3 linked regions of the Schizosaccharomyces pombe genome follow. The protein of the gene in region 1 purifies or fractionates together with the protein of each later gene. This does not show direct contact. Each region holds a gene or a part of one and is shown on either strand. Other genes may lie near its edges. The genes, in order: cbs2, ppk9 and ade4.

What was found.
Region 2: the proteins of cbs2 (region 1) and ppk9 purify together in Schizosaccharomyces pombe (affinity purification with mass spectrometry, with the first as the bait; one study listed by BioGRID). This does not show direct contact.
Region 3: the proteins of cbs2 (region 1) and ade4 purify together in Schizosaccharomyces pombe (affinity purification with mass spectrometry, with the first as the bait; one study listed by BioGRID). This does not show direct contact.

The regions. Positions count from the first base shown.
Region 1 is NC_003424.3:3,805,370-3,811,210, forward strand, and holds cbs2 (protein kinase activator), read right to left. Parts: upstream 3,334-5,841; 5' UTR 3,302-3,333; coding exon 3,266-3,301; intron 3,203-3,265; coding exon 3,079-3,202; exon of another isoform or gene 3,025-3,078; coding exon 2,666-3,024; intron 2,619-2,665; coding exon 2,462-2,618; intron 2,407-2,461; coding exon 2,078-2,406; 3' UTR 1,763-2,077; downstream 1-1,762. Other genes in the region: phosphomannomutase Pmm1, read left to right, coding at 475-561, 794-1,480; tma19 (translationally-controlled tumor protein), read right to left, coding at 4,159-4,665; SPOM_SPAC1F12.04C (uncharacterized protein), read right to left, coding at 5,697-5,841.
Region 2 is NC_003424.3:1,603,557-1,609,763, reverse strand, and holds ppk9 (serine/threonine protein kinase Ppk9), read left to right. Parts: upstream 1-2,614; 5' UTR 2,615-2,674; coding exon 2,675-2,789; intron 2,790-2,960; coding exon 2,961-4,444; 3' UTR 4,445-4,691; downstream 4,692-6,207. Other genes in the region: sterol transfer protein Osh3, read right to left, coding at 1-1,602; COPII-coated vesicle-associated protein Erv25, read right to left, coding at 4,906-5,234, 5,368-5,689.
Region 3 is NC_003424.3:5,362,349-5,369,053, forward strand, and holds ade4 (amidophosphoribosyltransferase Ade4), read right to left. Parts: upstream 4,071-6,705; 5' UTR 3,992-4,070; intron 3,950-3,991; exon of another isoform or gene 3,875-3,949; intron 3,775-3,874; exon of another isoform or gene 3,617-3,774; 5' UTR 3,614-3,616; coding exon 2,012-3,613; 3' UTR 1,640-2,011; downstream 1-1,639. Other genes in the region: protein Csi2, read right to left, coding at 1-1,365; translation initiation factor eIF2B gamma subunit tif223, read left to right, coding at 5,200-5,348, 5,473-5,743, 5,870-6,311, 6,353-6,495, 6,567-6,705.

The sequences.
Region 1 (5,841 bases):
GTTGCAGAATGCCGTTTCAATGTTTAAAAGTTTAAAACAAAATATTGATTTCATACCATTTTCATCCATCTTATAAAAATACTTTTTTTAAACACCGCGGGTTCACACGCGTCTATTTTCATTATACGTTACGCGCTACACGAAATAGAAAAAAATGAAGTTTTGATAAAAATATCTTCAAAAACACATTTTTTGAAATATTTTTCTGTGCGAATACGACTTTCTATGTAAAATCCCGATTGATTAATTCAAATTCCTACGACACAAGGGTACCTGAAATCAACATTTATGATATTGTAGAGCTAATATAATATACCTTCCTATGAATGTTTTTGCTATAAAATTTTGTTGTAAGAGTGTCTAATGCTTTGAAGGTAGAAGGGGGCTTATTGTTTACCTTGATCGAGGGGGCTTCATCGACGCGTTACCACCATACCACTACCAGTTGCACTTACCTTCGACCAAATTCTCAAAATGGCAGTTATCCCTATTGAAGAGCGTAAATTTCCTAAGACCCTAGTTTTATTTGACGTTGATGGAACGCTCACTCCTGCACGTTTGGTAAGTTTAGATTATTGCAGTCGAGCTTTCTTGGATTCAATCTGAATAGCCGGCTTGTATCAAATTTCCTATTTTCCAATCACATTCTCTATGGTCATCACCATTATTTAATCAGAGATGGCTTGAAAGGAAGTTTTAATTATCCAAAATATTTCGGGAGCAAGCTATTCATGCTCTATGACCTAGTTTATTTCTCTTTCCATTTTGTAATAACAAGACTAACATTTTAAAGAGTGTCTCCCCTGAAATGCTCGAAACTTTGCAAAATCTTCGCAAGGTTGTCGCTATCGGCTTCGTAGGCGGTAGTGATTTGAGCAAGCAACAAGAGCAACTGAGTGTCAACGGTGAAAACGTAATTGATTCTTTTGATTATGCGTTTGCTGAAAACGGATTAACTGCTTATCGTTATGGACAGCAATTAGCTAGTCAGTCATTCATCGCCTGGTTGGGAGAAGAAAAATACCAAAAACTGGTTAATTTCTGCTTACATTACATTGCTGATCTGGATATTCCCGTGAAGCGTGGTACTTTCATTGAATTCCGCAACGGTATGATCAACATATCTCCTGTAGGACGCAATGCCAATACTGAGGAACGCAATGAATTTGAACGTTTTGATAAGGGTCGTAAAATTCGCGCTACCATGGTCGATGTTCTTCGCGAAAAATTCAAGGATTATGGATTGACATTTTCCATTGGAGGTCAAATCTCTTTTGATGTGTTCCCTGCTGGTTGGGATAAGACATATTGCTTGCAACACGTAGAGAAAGAGGGATTTGATACAATTCACTTTTTTGGAGACAAGACATACAAAGGCGGCAATGATTATGAAATTTTTGTCGACCCTCGTACTATCGGACATTCTGTTACTAATCCTGACGATACCATTGCTGAACTCAAGAAAATTTTTAACATATAGATGAGTTTGTAGTGTGTTGATTAGATATGCGTCCCTCTCTTATCATTACGGAAAAGGTTAGCTTTCTTAGTTGTAAATAACTACTTCATATGCTCGGCGAGTGTGAAGTTTCTTGCACACAATTGATCTGTCATTTAACTCGTACATCTTCCATAATTATTGGTAGCATGGAATGCGAAGAACATTAAATTATTGTAATCTACTGCCAACGCAGCTTTTAATACTCATACCTGAACAATATGCATATATGAAAGAATATTTACAAGAAAATTACACTTACGATCGGTTAATTGATGCATTCCTAGAAAAATGCGAACTTAGTAGCTAATGAAAGGCATGTGTTAGTTATTTAATTAGATAGGCATTAGCATAATGGTACAAGTCACATCATATTATATAGACAGAAGTTGTAATAACCGAATTAATACTTTTTGAAATAAAAGAAGCCTCATTCGAGTACACTGAATTAGATACCACCTCGAGCTGCCATGCAAAAAAAAAGAAACAACTCAACGGTTTAACTTCAAATATCATGAGACTTGGCAATGTTTTCAACAGATTATGAATGCATTCAGGCTGAAGCGCACGAGAATCAAATTATACGGCAGATTCAAAATTATCAGTTTGTTCGGGAACGCCGGGCGTAGTCGTTTTATCGTATATTATGTAATTTAAAATATCAGCCAAAGATAAAATACCTTCGAGCTTCAAGTTTTCATCAACCACGAAAAGACGATGAACCCTGGAATGCTTAATAGCATCAAAAATACCATCCAAACGATCAGTAGCTCGACAAGTGTGGACGCCATCAAAGTTAGCTGGTCTTTTCAATAAAGCCTCGCCTACGCTCAAGTCTAAATTACTATAATCACCATCTTGTATAAGATGCATTACATCCACCGATTCATAGACATTTAGCAGGGTACCTGCTCAGTTAATATATAAATTATTCACAGAAAAAATTCAAAACATCTCACAAACCTTCAGAATTAACGATTGGGACGGCAGATATATTCTTTTCGGCAAGCATTTTAATAACATCATAGACTTTCGTTTCCATAGACGCGGTAGCTAAATTTGACCATGTCCCAATTGTCATTTGGTTTAATGGTACCCGTAGCATTGCGGTTTCTTTGCACTAAATTTGAAATTAGTAAATATAAAAACATAACACGATTTACGAACATTCATGGAGATAAATTTCAAAATTCGATATTGTGTCAAAACAGATACAATCATTTCGCTGCCTGTCTCGCCATCTACGTCAATTAAAGGAATTCTTCTAGCACGGCTCTTTGACATGGCTAAGCAAGCATCCATAAGACTATGCATTGGATGAACATATATAGTTTCCGGAGGAATGGCGCCAATCTTTCTTTCCACTTCACGAAGTCCCAACAATCGAAATTTGTCAATCTCAGCTATAGCCTCGGGAAATGAAGAGCTTTGGTAATAATACTTAATAACATTGACGAAATCCGCCATCGTTAAAAGGCCCGCAAACTTATTCGCTTCACTGTCCCATAAAGGAGCACTGACGATATCTAAGACGTGATTAATAAGTTGATTTCACATCTGTAATGAAAAATCTTTCGTACTGTTTAATGTAAGAAGAGAAAGTGATGTTTTTACAAAAAGCGTAACATCGAACACGATTAAACGGAAGGACGTAGGCAAAACATCGTAACTTGTACGCGAGCGTATAAATGCTTGAATTTCTTTCTGTACATCACATAGATTAATAATTATTTCTATTTAATAAAAAATCTATTCCATATCACTTACGAGTGCTCCTTTTTGGGTCTCTTGAACGTCTGTCATGACCTCGTCAAAGGATATATGGTGTGGTTGGTAAAAGAGACTAGATAAATGAGCGAGGGGAATGGTAACCCGCACAAGGGCAACAAATCGAGGTGTTAAGTAATTAGTTGCAAATAGTACAATGCCTAAATTATGCGTATTTGTTAGTGCTTTTAAATGATATATTTCACTTAGGGGAATATTGTAGCTAAACTCGTTGATTTAAACTGCTTATATAGTTTACTATTTAAACGTAACAATATACATTGACAAAATTAAATGCAACTAGTCTATTAACTCAATGATAAGATTGATTAAAAGGCTTAACAATTAAGCATAAATTTAATCCAATAGTCGTCCGCTACAAAAATAACATCGTCGAGCAAAAATTTCCCAAATCTTTAGTACTAACAGTAAACTATAGTTTCGACTGTAACAAAGTTTCAATGGCTACCGGGTCGTCTAGTGTCGCCATAACAAAAGTTTGGCTATTCCTCGTAAAGGACTTGAATTATCAACTTCGATAAAAAGCAAAAAAATACACTAAATTAATGGTAAAATACCAAATTTCAAACCATATCCTTACTTACTAAATTATTTCGGCCTGTTAATATATAAATAGATTCATGAATTTTAGCACACACGTTTTAAAACATCGATACCTCAATCTTCCATTCAACCAAATACAAAATCGATAAAAAAACACTAATTTCAATTTGAACATGATTATAAGCTAGCATAATTAATTATTATCAGAACAAAAACCCCTGTTCTAATCCTAATGAAATTTTGTGAAAACTAATTCACAAAACTATAAAATTTAGACATGATATCATGTTCCCAGTTAGAAACTCCCTTATAAGAACCCAAATTTGCATTTAGAACTTCTCAGAAACAAGACCGTCCTTGAAGAAGATCATGTAGGGAGTAATACCATCCTCACGGTAGTTCATTAAGACAACCATTGCGTCGGGATCCATGCTCTCACCAATGTAAAAGTCGTAGTCCTTGAAGTTAGCCAAAATCTTCTTGACGAATCCAATGGCATTCTTCTCGAAAACAGGAACACGCTCGGGGTTGCTTTCTTGAAGACGAGCCTTGATAGCCTTCATGTAACCCTTGATGTAAGACATATAGGACTTCTTGTCAAAAGAAGTAGGGCTTAAACGGAAAGAGTAAACAAGATTGTTTACAGTCTCAGTACCCTCTTCAGCATTCTCCTCAGCATCCTCGGCAGAAGGGTTGGCACCAATGTCAACATCACCACCTTGCTTGACAGTGACCATTTGGCAATCAGCCTCGTAGACAATATCGTCTACCTCCTTCAAGTCGTAGGCGTCAGAAACGAGTTCGTCTCCAGAAATAACGTCCTTGTACAACAACATGGTGATTGCAGATGGTAGCTCATAATTTGACTTCTCGCAGGTTTAATGAGATAAAGCAGTCACAGTTTAGGGCAGGGTTACTGGATTCTAGCCATCCGTATGGAATGCGGTTACGAACAGTATTCACTTTACGTAGTACAGCGTTGTTTTCGATAGATACATTTTGTTTACCAATTCCTTCATTTTTTTCAATTTGTCGTAGTCTGTTCTCCTTTCTTTTAAATAACAATATTCTTTATATTTTCAGATTTTTTTTTAGATGAAAATATCGTTGTACTCAGTCAGTAGTAAATTGTTTTATATTACTGAATCTGATTTTTTGAGTGAAACCATTATGATGCGTGTAAAATTAAGATTAAAGCTGGAATTAAAGTCCAAATGAATTCAACAATTGAACCATATTTAACAGTATGTGTATTAATCTCTATGTTCTTTAATCAACTTGTAACCATTTATGTCGCCTCAAATTTATTATTCGAGCTATTATCCGTCAATTCTTGAGTCGTAATTAGAACATTCTCAACAGTACTGAGCTTCAGAAGAAACCTAAAAAAGTAGTGCATTATAGTTGATAATAATTCCTTAACGTTTATATATGATATACTTAAAAGTATGATATCGTACATCCTCAATTTGAAATTGCAGGGCCATTAAAAACACTCGTTAATAAAGATATTCAGTTCAATTAGAAAAAAATGACAAGGTACATTTTGGTGACAAACAAAGAGTAACTTAATGTTTTCCGTTGATTAAATTTTCGATCAATATCCCAAAATTTAAAACGCTTTAATGGAATGGATTAACGATTAAAATCGACTTCATTTCTAAAACCTTTCAAGCTTTAAACCGATTCAGTCCCTTCATTTAGAATGGCATATTTCGATTTTTGCTGAAAAAACCAAGACGACTGTTACCACTTTTGTTTACTACTTTACTCACATAGACATTCGAGAAAACGAAAAATAGTTGAGCACGAATAGAATTACATGAAAAAAGTAACTTCTATTTAAATTTAAAAAGCTCATTCGTAACTAAGCTCTTTTATTGTGCAAAGAGAGGATTAGTTTTCTAGTTTGTACAATTGCGCTGAAAAGACCAAGAACTCCAATTTGGTGTTTGTGTAAACCAGCTCCATTTTCTACAGACCAGTGAATACACAAAGGAAGGCTAGCCAAG
Region 2 (6,207 bases), 2.2 Mb from region 1:
AGAAATAACGGCCCCGTCGGCGATGTTTTTAGAAACAGAAGGCTTTTGAACCTCTTCATCGCTTTTAGCATTGGCAAAACTGGAATCATCCGGTGATGAAGAATCCATTAAATCATGGAATGGCTGTTTTCTTTTGATATCGTTTTCTTTATTGCTTTCAACTTCGGGAAGAGGCGGTGACCGAGAAGACTCATCTACTGTTGAGGCGAGAGAAGTTGCATTCAACTGTTCATGTGGAGCTGAAGAGTTGGATGATGTATCGGAAATAGAAGAAGTGTCAGAATCACGATCTGCATCAAGGGAAGTGCTATTAGAAGAAGTTTTCATTATTGGAATATCGGAATCAGAGATGTCCTCCACCTTTTCATTATGAGCAACACTTGATTTAGTAGCATCAGCTGCGTGAGCACCCGACTCAGAATAGTGATTCAATTGAGAAGTTGTGCTTTCATAATCTTCAGCGTCGTACCAATGTTGCTCAAAATTGGAATCCATAGACATGCGTGACGAAGGAGAAGATTGCGCCGTACGTTCTTTAGTATATTCATGGTGTTGAATAAAGCATTCCAGTTCATGCAACAAAGACCCGAGTTGACGAGTAACCTTGCGTAAAGTAACCGCAGCTTGCGCGTTTTCAGCAGCAGTAATTTCCACTGAAGTACGGGTTTCCTTGTTTTCTTTGGCATCACCGGGAAGTTGTATACGGATCTCAGGGACAGAAAAATTATGACTTGAAGCCGATTTGATACGACTGGTGCGATACAATTGAGCAATATCCAGGCATTCACGTAGTCTTGAGTAAATAGAGACTAACTGATTGGATGACGATTCTTGTGTCCTTTCGTCTACTACGAGCTTTGAAGAAGTTTGACTATTTTTCGCCTTTTCCAAAGCATTGCACCAACGTAGCCAATCTTGGTGAGTATGTGCTCGTAGGTTCCACAGTTCTACGCCTGAATCAACGTTGATCTCATGCGTCTCTGCAGCAACGCTAATCACAGCAATGCTCAAGGGAATTTTACCGCGCATTACCGAAGAATTTTCGTTAGCATAGTATGAGATCGTGCCTTCCACCATGTTGAGAGTGAAGTAACGTCGAGCATAGCCTTGGCCCTTCTTTCGGCGCTTTTTAAGCAAGGTTCCAGAAATAATTTGTTTAGGAGAGCCATGGACTGATGCATTTGGTATTCTCGGACCGTTGTATGGTTGCGCGGTCAAGAGGAAGGTCACAGTTTTTGGTTTTGTTTTCGAAAAAGTGTTATCAAACACGAAGGCATAAAGTCCTCCATTCTCAATGTAGACAGAGCCCTCACTAGGCTTTTCCGACATACATCGCTCTCCTTGATAAAATAATTCTAACCCAGCAGCACTCAACTTCTTGATACCAGCTTCGTGAGTGTGTTGACGCTTTGTATGCAGGATGGAACGATCGGTGTTTTTGTTGGATCCATCTAGCAAGCTAGATGTGTCATTCTTTTTATGATATATATCAAACTTTATGCTTTTCCGTTTCACATGCAGTTGCCAACTCAGTAAGGAATTCGATTCCACCGTGAGCCATTGTATCAACAGACTCTTACTTCGTATCTCCACAGTTTCCATGTTGACTCATGGACTTCTACTGTGATAATTGCAAAACTTAGAAAGCCTATTTTTTTCAATTGATGACTGGAGAGGAATAAAATAATTGCCTAAACGTATGTGGTAAGAGATGGATTTTCGGTTTCGGGATTTTCGGGCGAATGACTCCAAGGTATTTTACCGATGCGGAACGTTCGGTTTTTTGGCGGCCACCTAATGTAATGTATACTTAAGTAGTAAACAAAGGGCTGGTAGCGGCAATAGGTATGCCAGTATGTAAACGGATACAAAGAAAATTTTGCACTTATCACTTTCCGTAGTGTGTACTTGGGATGCCTCGATCGGGCTATTTCAGATATGGCAAAATATACTTTACATTAAAAAATAGCTATACAAAAACATTCGCACGGTCTGTAATATGCGGTTTTATGTTTGTCTACTAGCATTGATGGCATCGTGCGAAATAATGCGGGTTTTTGGGATTAAACCGAAAATCAAATGTTTTCTGTAGTCAAAAAATCTAGCTGTTGTAATTTTTTATTTAATTGTCTTTGAGTATTTCTATTACTGCTTTTACTAATTTTATCATTATCACGGCTGTATTGTTGTAGCTTATTGTGCAAAAAATTTTGGCTAGAAGTTGGGACGGATCTAATGATGGAAGAGGGTAAATAGAGAGTTCCCATGTACTCATAAACTTTGAAAATTGGCATAATTTCCCATAACACAATACCAGCTCGATTTTCCATTTCATAACACAAAATTTACATACCTATGCATCTGATAACCCATAGACCGCGTACCTTAATTAAATAAAGTGCAGATTGGTTGCTCGTATCGAACGCTAGCGTTGTCTGCAATGTCGCCGTGGAGATGTTTACCAAAAGATAGCACGTTACGCCATATAATCTTATTACAAGGTTGCTTTGAATCACACTACTTTGCCTCGTGCACCTTTTTTATCGCTAACAAATTAGCATCAGATGCGCGGATCATGTTTAAGTCGGACGGTATGCAGCAACATGCACATGCTAACCACCTATATACACGAATAACGAATTTCATCCTATAAAGTCAGCTGGCTCGACTTGCTATGCAAACCCCTTCTTCTGCATCGGCAGAGTCTGAAAAGGATTCAGGAAACACCTATGTTGGGCCTTGGCTTTTGGGAAGGACTTTGGGACAAGGAAACTTGGCCAAAGTGAAATGTAAGTACATGAGGTGAAATTTAGTTGACTTTGTCTTGTAGGGGCTTGTTAATAAGATAGAGTAGACTACTTATAGACAGTAGAGATAGACTACTTAGGTGTCATGGTTATCTTGCGCATCGATCGTCTTTGATTTTGTTTTTGGCAATTGTACGATGGCTAACAGTGTAGTGGGCAAGCATTTTCAAACAAATGAAAAGGTCGCATTGAAAATGGTTTACAATGATGAATTGGAAGATAAAGATACGTGGAAGCGTTTACAAAGAGAAGTGACAATCTTAAGGCAATTGCACCATCCAAACATTATCACCCTATACCAGGTGTTTCGGGTTCCCAAGTACACAGTGCTCGCACTAGAGTATATGGATACTGATTTGCACAGTATGGTGGTTAAGCATAATCGACTGGATGAATGTACCACTCGCAAGATTTTTCGACAAATTGTCCATGCCATCGATTATTGTCATCTTCATCGTGTTGCTCACCGAGATTTGAAGTTGGAAAACATTTTACTTAATAAAGATCTGGTTGTCAAGCTCACGGATTTTGGCCTTTCCAATTTTATGCTTGATGGTTCCTTTCTGAGTACCTCTTGCGGTACTCCCCATTATGCTGCTCCTGAGGTTATTCAAGGCCGTTATTATGATGGTTGTGATGTAGATGTATGGGGTTGCGGAATCTTATTGTATTTGATGCTCGTCGGCGAGTTTCCCTTTGAGGATGTAACCATCTCCAATGTATTAAGTCGCGTTTGTAAAGGAATCTACACCATTCCTAGTTTTGTATCTTCTTCAGCCTCAGATCTCATTCGTCAAATGTTAATGGTGCTTCCTACTTCACGAATCAAAGTTGCAGAAATAATGCAACATCCTTGGTTTATCGCTGATCTTCCCACGCATTCCCGTTTACCTTCCCGTACTTCATCCTTTTCTTCCAAGCATCGATCTGTCACCTTTTCTCCTCCAGATCTTGCTATTCTTTTCGACCCTTCCATAACTTCGCCTTCCAGTAGTGTAGGTCAAATTCCTCAGCCCACAGATCACTCAGCCCTATCCCCGTCAAAACCAATGTCCATTTCAGGTACTGAATCTCCTAATCCAGATCCCGCATCTTTATGTTATTCGTCGTATGAGGACTTGTATTCGGCTACTTCGTGGCATTCTGACATGGCAGAATCATCCGGATTTTTAGATCCTACTGATATTCCACCAATTCCTTCTAACGTTGAAACTTTACGCTCTTCTCTTCCACAGAGACATGCTTCATTCATGAATAAGGTCTACAACCATCCATTATCCCGACCTCCCGCCCCCAACCGACTTCGTTCTTTACGCTGGCATTATGGGATTCAAACTGCCAAAAATCCAATTGAAGTATTGAGAAAGCTATGTGAGGCTTTACTTGAGTTAGGAGCTCGGTTTCGGCCCTGTGATGAGGAATCTTTTCTAAAGGAAAATAAGTATAAAGTGTTTTCATGCATTACATGTCATAATTCTCCTGTTTATCTGGTTATTGAATTATTCTCTATTGGACCATCTGCTAGCGTGATTGATATCCGCTTTTCTAGTAGTGATGATTCTATAAAGTACACTTCATCTTACAGTCCAATGCCATTTTTAGAAGTTGTCAAACAATTGATCCTTAAAATTGCATAAGGTCAGTCGCGTAACTCAACCTAATTCCCTTTTTTATCCTTTTTTTTTCTTTTACGATTTTTTTTGTTGTAAAGCTTTTGTTTTCAATATTGTTTGCATTTACTAATATTGTGAAACTAAGTTGAATTTTGATATTTTTGTTACGACTTTCTCATTTAGTTTCAATTAGAATTCACAGTTGTTACATTTCCCTTTTGTTTTTTGAATTTGTTAGTTATTTCACAAACAATGAAGATAAACAGTTGTAATATTACAACAGAATTATGCTAATGTAATTTACTACAATCTTTTATTTTTATTCATGAAGTTAAAGAGTGAAGTAGTGTATATGCATTAAATGTGAATGTTTGTCCATACTCACAGTAATTCCTAGTACGGAATATAAAAGCAACCAATTAATTTTTGGAAATTGTGGAAGTGCCAAGTATGCCGTATACGTATATTTATTGTTCATGTGAAATTTAAGGGATAAGATGCTTCCTTTGGAAAAATGAACGTAAATAGAGGATTTGCCATATAACAAGAACAAATAATGAGATAAAAGTAAGATATGCAAAATTCTTGACACGCTCATTAGTACTTTCATTAGTGTTTCTGAATCTAGCTTCGCGAGCTTGCAAATAGTAAATTTTTCCTTTGATTTCTTCAATGAAGTCTCTTGCACGACGGATATCAGCTTCTACAGGTTCCAAGTTGTTTGCTTTTTGCAATGAAGAATAATCATCGGCGTCAGCGCCTACAGTAAACTCAAGTTTGACGGATCGCTTTTTATGTTCAGACTCTATAGCACCTACATTTAAATGTCAGTCAGAAAGCTAAACTCATAAAGGATTTCTTTTTCAAAGAAAGAAAGGGATCTAAACAACGTAAACAAATCAAAATAGCCGTTGAAGTAAATACGACTTTTAGATATAGTACCATACCTGGTGTCAAAGTATTTAGGAAGCAAATATCGAGCATAGCAGAAGCATCAACGTCAAAGGCAACACTCTTCTCGCCTAAGACATTTTGAATACTGCTATGAGTGTTGCCAGATGAATCAGTTATCATCATACTCAAGGTTTGTCCATCTCCCATATTACCAGTAGTTTTCAGATTAACAATTACAAGGTTCTTTTCTCCTACGTATTCACGAAGACAGAAAGGCTCTGGATTGGTTTTGGCAGGAATATCAAAGTTTAAAGCATGGACAACAGTCAATAATGCTAGCATAAAGAACAACGAAGATTTCAAAGAAACCATCATTTTGAAATAACTCCAAATGTTTGGGATACGATATGAACGACGTAATAACCACCACTGCTGTATACAGGTTGGCAAAAGAAAGAAATCTTGCCTGTTCTAGTTAAATGATGGTAAACCGAATGCCAAGGGGGAGTGTGCGCTGCGTCTCATTAACTTTCCTTACAGCTACAATGCAACAAAAAATACAAAAATAAGAATTCTGAGATACTTCCTTACGAATCAACTTTTATTAGTGTAAGAAATAACTCAATTTTTTTTTGCGGATCTCTTATAGCCTTAAAAAATGAGTAAGGGGCGTTGAAGGGTTTCATTTAGCAATGTAAACATAAGATAGCCATCGATATCACTAGCAAAAAGTGATAGGTTATAAAGCAAGAAAATGAATAAAAGAATGGATTTAGTTAATTTCTATACTAGTATTATGAGAAAATTAGCTTTTTCATTTTCTAATGATTATTTAATGAAAAAAAACTTACTAAAGTGATGCAAAAAATTATGTTTTGAATGCGGATAATCAA
Region 3 (6,705 bases), 1.6 Mb from region 1:
TTTTCCCCAGTAATCCCTTAAAATGTCAGAAAATTTAGGCTTAGGAAATGTCCATCCGTAGTCCACGACAGCACCAACAACTTTCAAGGCAAAGTCCGGGTGATCAGCAACATTTCTCTGGGAACAAGAATGTTTTATGTATTTTTCAACTCTTTTTTCTAAGTTTGAATTGAGTTTTTGATGAACAGATTCCTCAAGGTCTTTATGATAATAAGAATATGTGGCATCAAACTGCTTCGCCAAAAGATTTTTAGCAGCATCTTTTTTTAAATATAAACCGGAGTTTATGATTGAAAAATTGGTGGTCGATCTATTGCCATAAAAAGACTGTGATGAGTTGTGTCGCTTTACAATATACATAGCTTCTTTAGAGCTTTGAGCAATGTTCCGTAATATATCTTTCAAACAAAGAATATCAAGATTGACACTTTCGTGTAAATCTTCAATGCAAAGTAAATTAAAAATAGACTCTCCATTGTTAATTCTCAGAAAGCCCCGATACGAAGGATTTCGCAATAAATTGTAATGTTCGGCAAAAGAACAAATGGCTTGAACACTCTTATTGACTAATGAAATCGGGATGTTCCCAGGGTGTTTTTCGGAAACAGGCAGATGCGACACTAGGTATATGTCTTTTTCAATAAAATCTAGGTAAGTGTTCAGTAGAGGGTTAACAGAATCATTTATATCCTGTATTTTAAGATCATAAGTACTCATTAAATTTCTATCCCAAAAATGTAATAAAACATCTTCAGGGCTAATTGGATTTTGATAAAGAAGTGTCTTTGCCTCTGTAAGGTTTGACTGTAGCTTTAGCAATGGCATTATAGAATCACGTTCATTATATGTTGAAGAGGAATTACCAAATTTGGATTTAAACAGAGATTTCGCTTGTTCCAAGTGTTTGCCAAAACTTATATTAAAATTTGAAGGAATGAACCGAAAAGGAATTCTGTCTACGAAATCCTTATAAAAAAACTTAATATTTACTCGTCCATCATTAGGTATTAGTAAAAACAACGAGAAAAGCAAAAGAAATGAGAGTAAAAAGCTAACTTTTCGACGGTTCAAAAGAAACTTTATGATGGAAAATACAGTGCTGATAAATTCTAAAGCTTGCTTACAATAGTAAACGAAGAAAAAGATCGACTTTTTAAAGAATGTGTTAGAGATATTTCTAGATATGTTTGAGTTGACATCTGACTGCAGGCCACGGCTCAAAGGCGAAGGGTCGTTCACAGACAATTCGTCGCTTGCATGATTGGGAGTAGAGTGATTCTGATGCACTAATGCATCATTCGCTATCAAAAGCTGTTCCATGTCAAAAAAATCATTAGAGGATGCCTGTCGCTTTCTAGACATCATCACAAAAGGCACTGATGATATCGAAATCCCCTCTCTTCGGAATCATTCAACACGAGTTTCGCCAAAACAGTGAGTTGTATTGAAACATAGACTTAAATTAATAGGTTTTTAGTTATTGATTAAACGAAAGAATGCTTTTACCGTTATACGCATTTATATAAAGAAATGAAGAAGTTGGTGGACTATACAAGTAAAAACGTCGAAAGAGTTTGTAACATAATTATGCAAATAGTACAAACAGACTTTGAATTATGTTTCATTTTATGAAAAGGTTAAGAGACCAAAAAAAAAAAACCAATATTGTATATTATTGCATGTTTATAAAAGTGTGTAGAAAATTTTTTTCAGACACTACTTATAATCTAATAGTCTTAAAGAGTATGGGTAAACTTATATATTGAAACAATATATATTAATTGGTAACAAAAAGTAAAATTAACAACAAGGAGCTGATGAAATTATCTTTAATTTCAAGAAAAGTTTCAAGAGGACAAAAATTCAGAAATTAAAATCAACCAAAAAACCATTGATGGGGCGATTGTACATTCTATTAGTATTCAACAATGGATTAGAGCATCAATCTAGACAAAGTAAATGGAGGATTGGTTATTATAATAAAGCACTAAGCATTGAATAAATTGGGGAATTAAACAAAATCAAAAGTAACATCTGAATGTGTGTTATGGAGAGAAATGTCTTCGGGAGCTTCACGTTCCTCATCTTCTGCAAAGCTATGCTTACGAGCACGATTGTTAGCAATACGCATTTGCTCAAGATGGACTAAATATTCTTTACTAGCGCCAGTAGTGTATTCGCCAGTAAAGAGACCAACTTCAAATTCGGTCAGCTCAGCCGTACGACAAGAATCTAATAAATCTTCTAATGTTTGATAAATGACACCATCGGCACTAATTGCTTCAGCAACCTCATCCTCAGTTTTTCCATAAGCAATGAGATCCTTACAATCAGCGAGATCAATACCGTAGACATGAGGATGAGTGATCATAGGAGCGCAACTAGCCAAATAGACATTCTTTGCACCCGACTCCCTAGCCATTTGAACGATCTCACGAGAGGTGGTACCACGAACAATACTGTCATCCACAATTAAAACATTCTTATCAAAAAACTCTTGAGGTTGAACATTTAATTTACGACGAACCGATTTACGACGAATCTGTTGACCTGGCATAATGAAGGTACGACCAATATATCGGTTTTTAATAAAAGCTTCGACGTATGGCAGTTGAGCTGTCTGTGCAAGTGCAAGGGCACTGGTTCGAGCAGAATCTGGAACAGGAATGACAGCATCAATTTTTTCCATGTAATCGGGACCAAACCGTTTCATTATAGTATGCGCTAACTTTTCACCCATATTTAAACGGGATTGGTATACGGACAATCCGTCAATAACAGAGTCGGGACGAGCGAAATAGACATACTCAAATATATCGGGAGTAAATCTTAGGCAGGGAAGGATTTGACGAGAAAACAAGCGAGGGCCTCTAAACCCTGCAAGTATATCTTCCCTATTGGAACGACGAATAAAGACACACTCACCGGGGCGAATATCTCTGAATGTACGGTATCCAAATTGAGTCAATACAACACTCTCACTAGCAAGCATGTAATCCTTTCCTTCGGGGGTATCACGTTCACCGATCACTAAAGGACGAATGCCATTGGGATCACGGAATCCCAAAACACCCAAGCCTGCGATCATAGCAACACATGCATAACCACCATTAACGCGATCGTATACATTACGCAAAGCTTCGAAAATATCATTTTCGTTTATACGAAATTTATCCAACCGTTGAAGCTCGTAAGCAAAGATGTTAAGCAAAAGCTCAGAATCAGATCCAGTGTTTACATGACGATGGGCCTCAGTGTCCAAAAAGCGTCGTAATTCGGGTCCATTAATTAAATTACCATTATGGCCCAACACAAGACCATAAGGAGAGTTAACATAAAAGGGTTGTGCTTCAGAGTGAGCACAACTTCCAGCAGTAGGATAGCGCAAATGACCAATACCCATACTACCTACGAGTTGGCGAAGTTGATGCTGACTAAAAACATCGGCAACCATGCCGGATCCCTTGCATTGGTAAAGACGACCTTTGTTTCCAGCGGTTACAATACCGGCGGCATCTTGACCCCGATGCTGCAAACTGTAAAGACCCTCATAAATTTCAGGACATGCCTGTTGATGAGGGTCAGCAAGCATTAACGCCAAAATTCCGCACATTTTCTAAAACTTGTTAGAGCTTCGGTTGTGAATTGAATACAAAAGATAATAAAATGATAGGTTTAAATGTACAAAAGAAAAAACAGCACCCAGTCAAATTGCTATAACTTGATTAAAATAATATGAGTCGGACTGTTCTATTCGGACAGCAATCAAAGTTTGAGAATACTTGGAATATAATTTCAATTTTTTTGTACCGACCGTAAAATGAGTTGTATGTTACCATCACAGAAAATAAAAAATTTTAATCAATTAAGCAGACCTCAGAAAACCTTGTAGCTACATAAGATGAAATTCAGAAGTCTAGCATCTAAATAAACGGTAATCATCATAGGCAAGTACTGCGGCGTTGGAAAATCAATATCTATATTAACTTACTTTTTAAAACGCGTACGAAACAAAAAAAAAAAGATTTTCAGGTACGCGCTGAACAAACACCGTAGTTGGGTATATTGTTAAGGCAAAATTTTGCTGCCGTATAAATTAATTTATTGTCCGCCTTAAATGATAGTGAAGTATGAGTCGAAACTATGACTGCTCAAGATTGTGATGAACGATTCGCTAAATAGAAGCTTAAAGAGAGGTGGGATATGCGCACGTTAATATAGGTAACAGGTATAGCTTGCTACTTAGCTGACAGGGTAGATGATATTAAATTGTTTGCTATTTTTGTTGCCAAAAAAAATTTTTTAAGCTTAAAAATATATCTTTAAATAAAACCTTCTTATATCAAAAAAAATTCGATGAAGTTAAGAGTGGTGCAGTGTTACAGTAATGCCGCATACACATCAACTTATTATTGAGCTTTACCGGAGGTATCCCATTACTATTTATTTGTTATAAAATCTTTCAATGTTCTGGTTTTTCTTCCTTCTTTACTCGGTAGTTAACAACAATACATTAATCACCGAGATGAGAGCTATGGGTAATCTAATCCAAAACTTTTAGTTCAACTTGTTACGATTGCAGTAGTCCAATGGTTTTTAAACTTAAAAAACTAATGAAAACAATACACAATGTACTGTATCTCTAATCTTCTGATTCCTCAAAATAATAGTTTACTAACCGGCTTCAAATATTTGTTCCTTAATTGGTGTACAGAGGATCATTTTCTGAGCGCTTGATTGATATTTTTTACTATCGGATTGATTATAAACCAGGATCGCGAAAACGTACCGATTTATAAATCGTTGATTATTAAAACATCTTTTTTAATATTGCACATTAAACAAAATTACAAGTGCAAAGCAATAATTAGTTTTCAAGCAGCTCCACATTTTGAGTTGGTAAATCATTTTAAAAAAAAATCATCAATAGTTCATATTTCATGAATACATTTTTCTAAACACAAATATAAATTCAGCACATTTTTATTTCAGATAGTGATGTGTAACGTGTAAACTTTTGGCTCGTTAGTAGGGATCTAGGAAAGTAAGGTTTTCCATCTTCATCAAATATTGGCGTACTGCAAAAAAACCCAATAATTCGTCTTCTATCAGGTTATAAAAGATTTTGGCTTCAAAGCATCCTTTTAGGTAAAAACCTTTTGTAAAAGCATCCAACGCCTTGAAGAACAACATCTCACAATGTCGTTGTATGAGCATGCTGCACTTCCTTTAGCCAGTAGCCCTTCAATCCTTGGACCTATTTCTGGTGGACGAAATCGGGGGAATATTCAATTACAGTCTATTCCGATTGAATTTCAAGCTGTTGTTTTTGCAGGATTTGGCAATAGGTAAAACAAACAAGTGTAGTACTGACTACTTAACGATTTGGATAATGATGACTTCGCACATATTATCTTCATCAACACTTAAAAAAGATAAAATAACAATAAGAAAATACTAACCATGTTTTAGTTTATATCCTTTGACTGGAAGCGATGCACTTCCCAAGGCTTTATTACCTATCGGCAATAAACCGATGCTTCACTACCCATTATATTGGCTTGAAGCTGCTGGATTTACTTCTGCTATTCTTATTTGCATGGAAGAAGCGGAAGCCCATATCAATGCTTGGTTACGATCTGGCTACGAGGGACATATGCGTATTCACGTGGAAGCACCGACTATTTTAGATGATTCTAAAAGCTCTGCCGATGCTCTTCGTGCTGTATCCCATCTTATAAAGGTATGATTTATTTTTATGTATAAGTAGATATGCATGTGTTCTTAGACTTTTTGATCTTTTCTCTCTCATTCTGCAATTTAATTACTCGTCTTAAAGTCACAAAAAATGCTAACCGATACCCACCAGAATGACTTTGTGTGTCTCAGTTGTGATAGTATAGTTGGTCTCCCTCCCATATACGGTTTGGATAAGTTTCGCCTTGATAACCCTTCAGCACTGGCTGTATATAGTCCAGTGTTAAAATATGAGCATATTACAAGTCAATCTAAAGAGATTGATGCAAAACAACTGATTGGAATTGAAGAGAAGACGAGCAGACTATTGTATGCCAAAAGTTCCGCAGACGTGGGCAGTGATTTTACATTTAGAATGTCTTTGTTGTGGAAACACCCAAGGGTTACGTTAAATACAAACCTTTCGGATGCCCATATATTTGTATTTAAACACTGGGTTATTGATTTGATCCGGGAGAAAGAATCTATTTCTAGCATTCGTGGAGATCTCATCCCGTATCTTGTTAAATGTCAATATCAGAAATCCTTTACTGTACGAGAGAACATTCAAAGATGTAAGTGCTTTTTTTAATTAACTATTTTCTAACAATTAAAGTTTTGTCATCTCCTAACAATATTGATAATTATGATGGGGGATTATCCTCACAGGAAATTAAAATTAATGCTTTAATTGCCAAAGATGGGATTATTTGTTCTAGGGCTAATAATTTACCTAACTATTTCGAACTTAATAAATGCGTATGTTTTCGAAAGCTGAGCTTCATCTCGCTTTTTAGCAGTTTCATCCAATATCTCTAACAGCAAACTAGATCGCCAAACTTACTCCAGAACAACGCCTTGTAGATGTCACCGTGTCCGAAAGAGCACTGGTCGGTGCCGATTGTATGGTGAATGAAGGTACCACCATTAAGGATAACAGCAACATTAAAAAGAGCATTATCGGTAAAA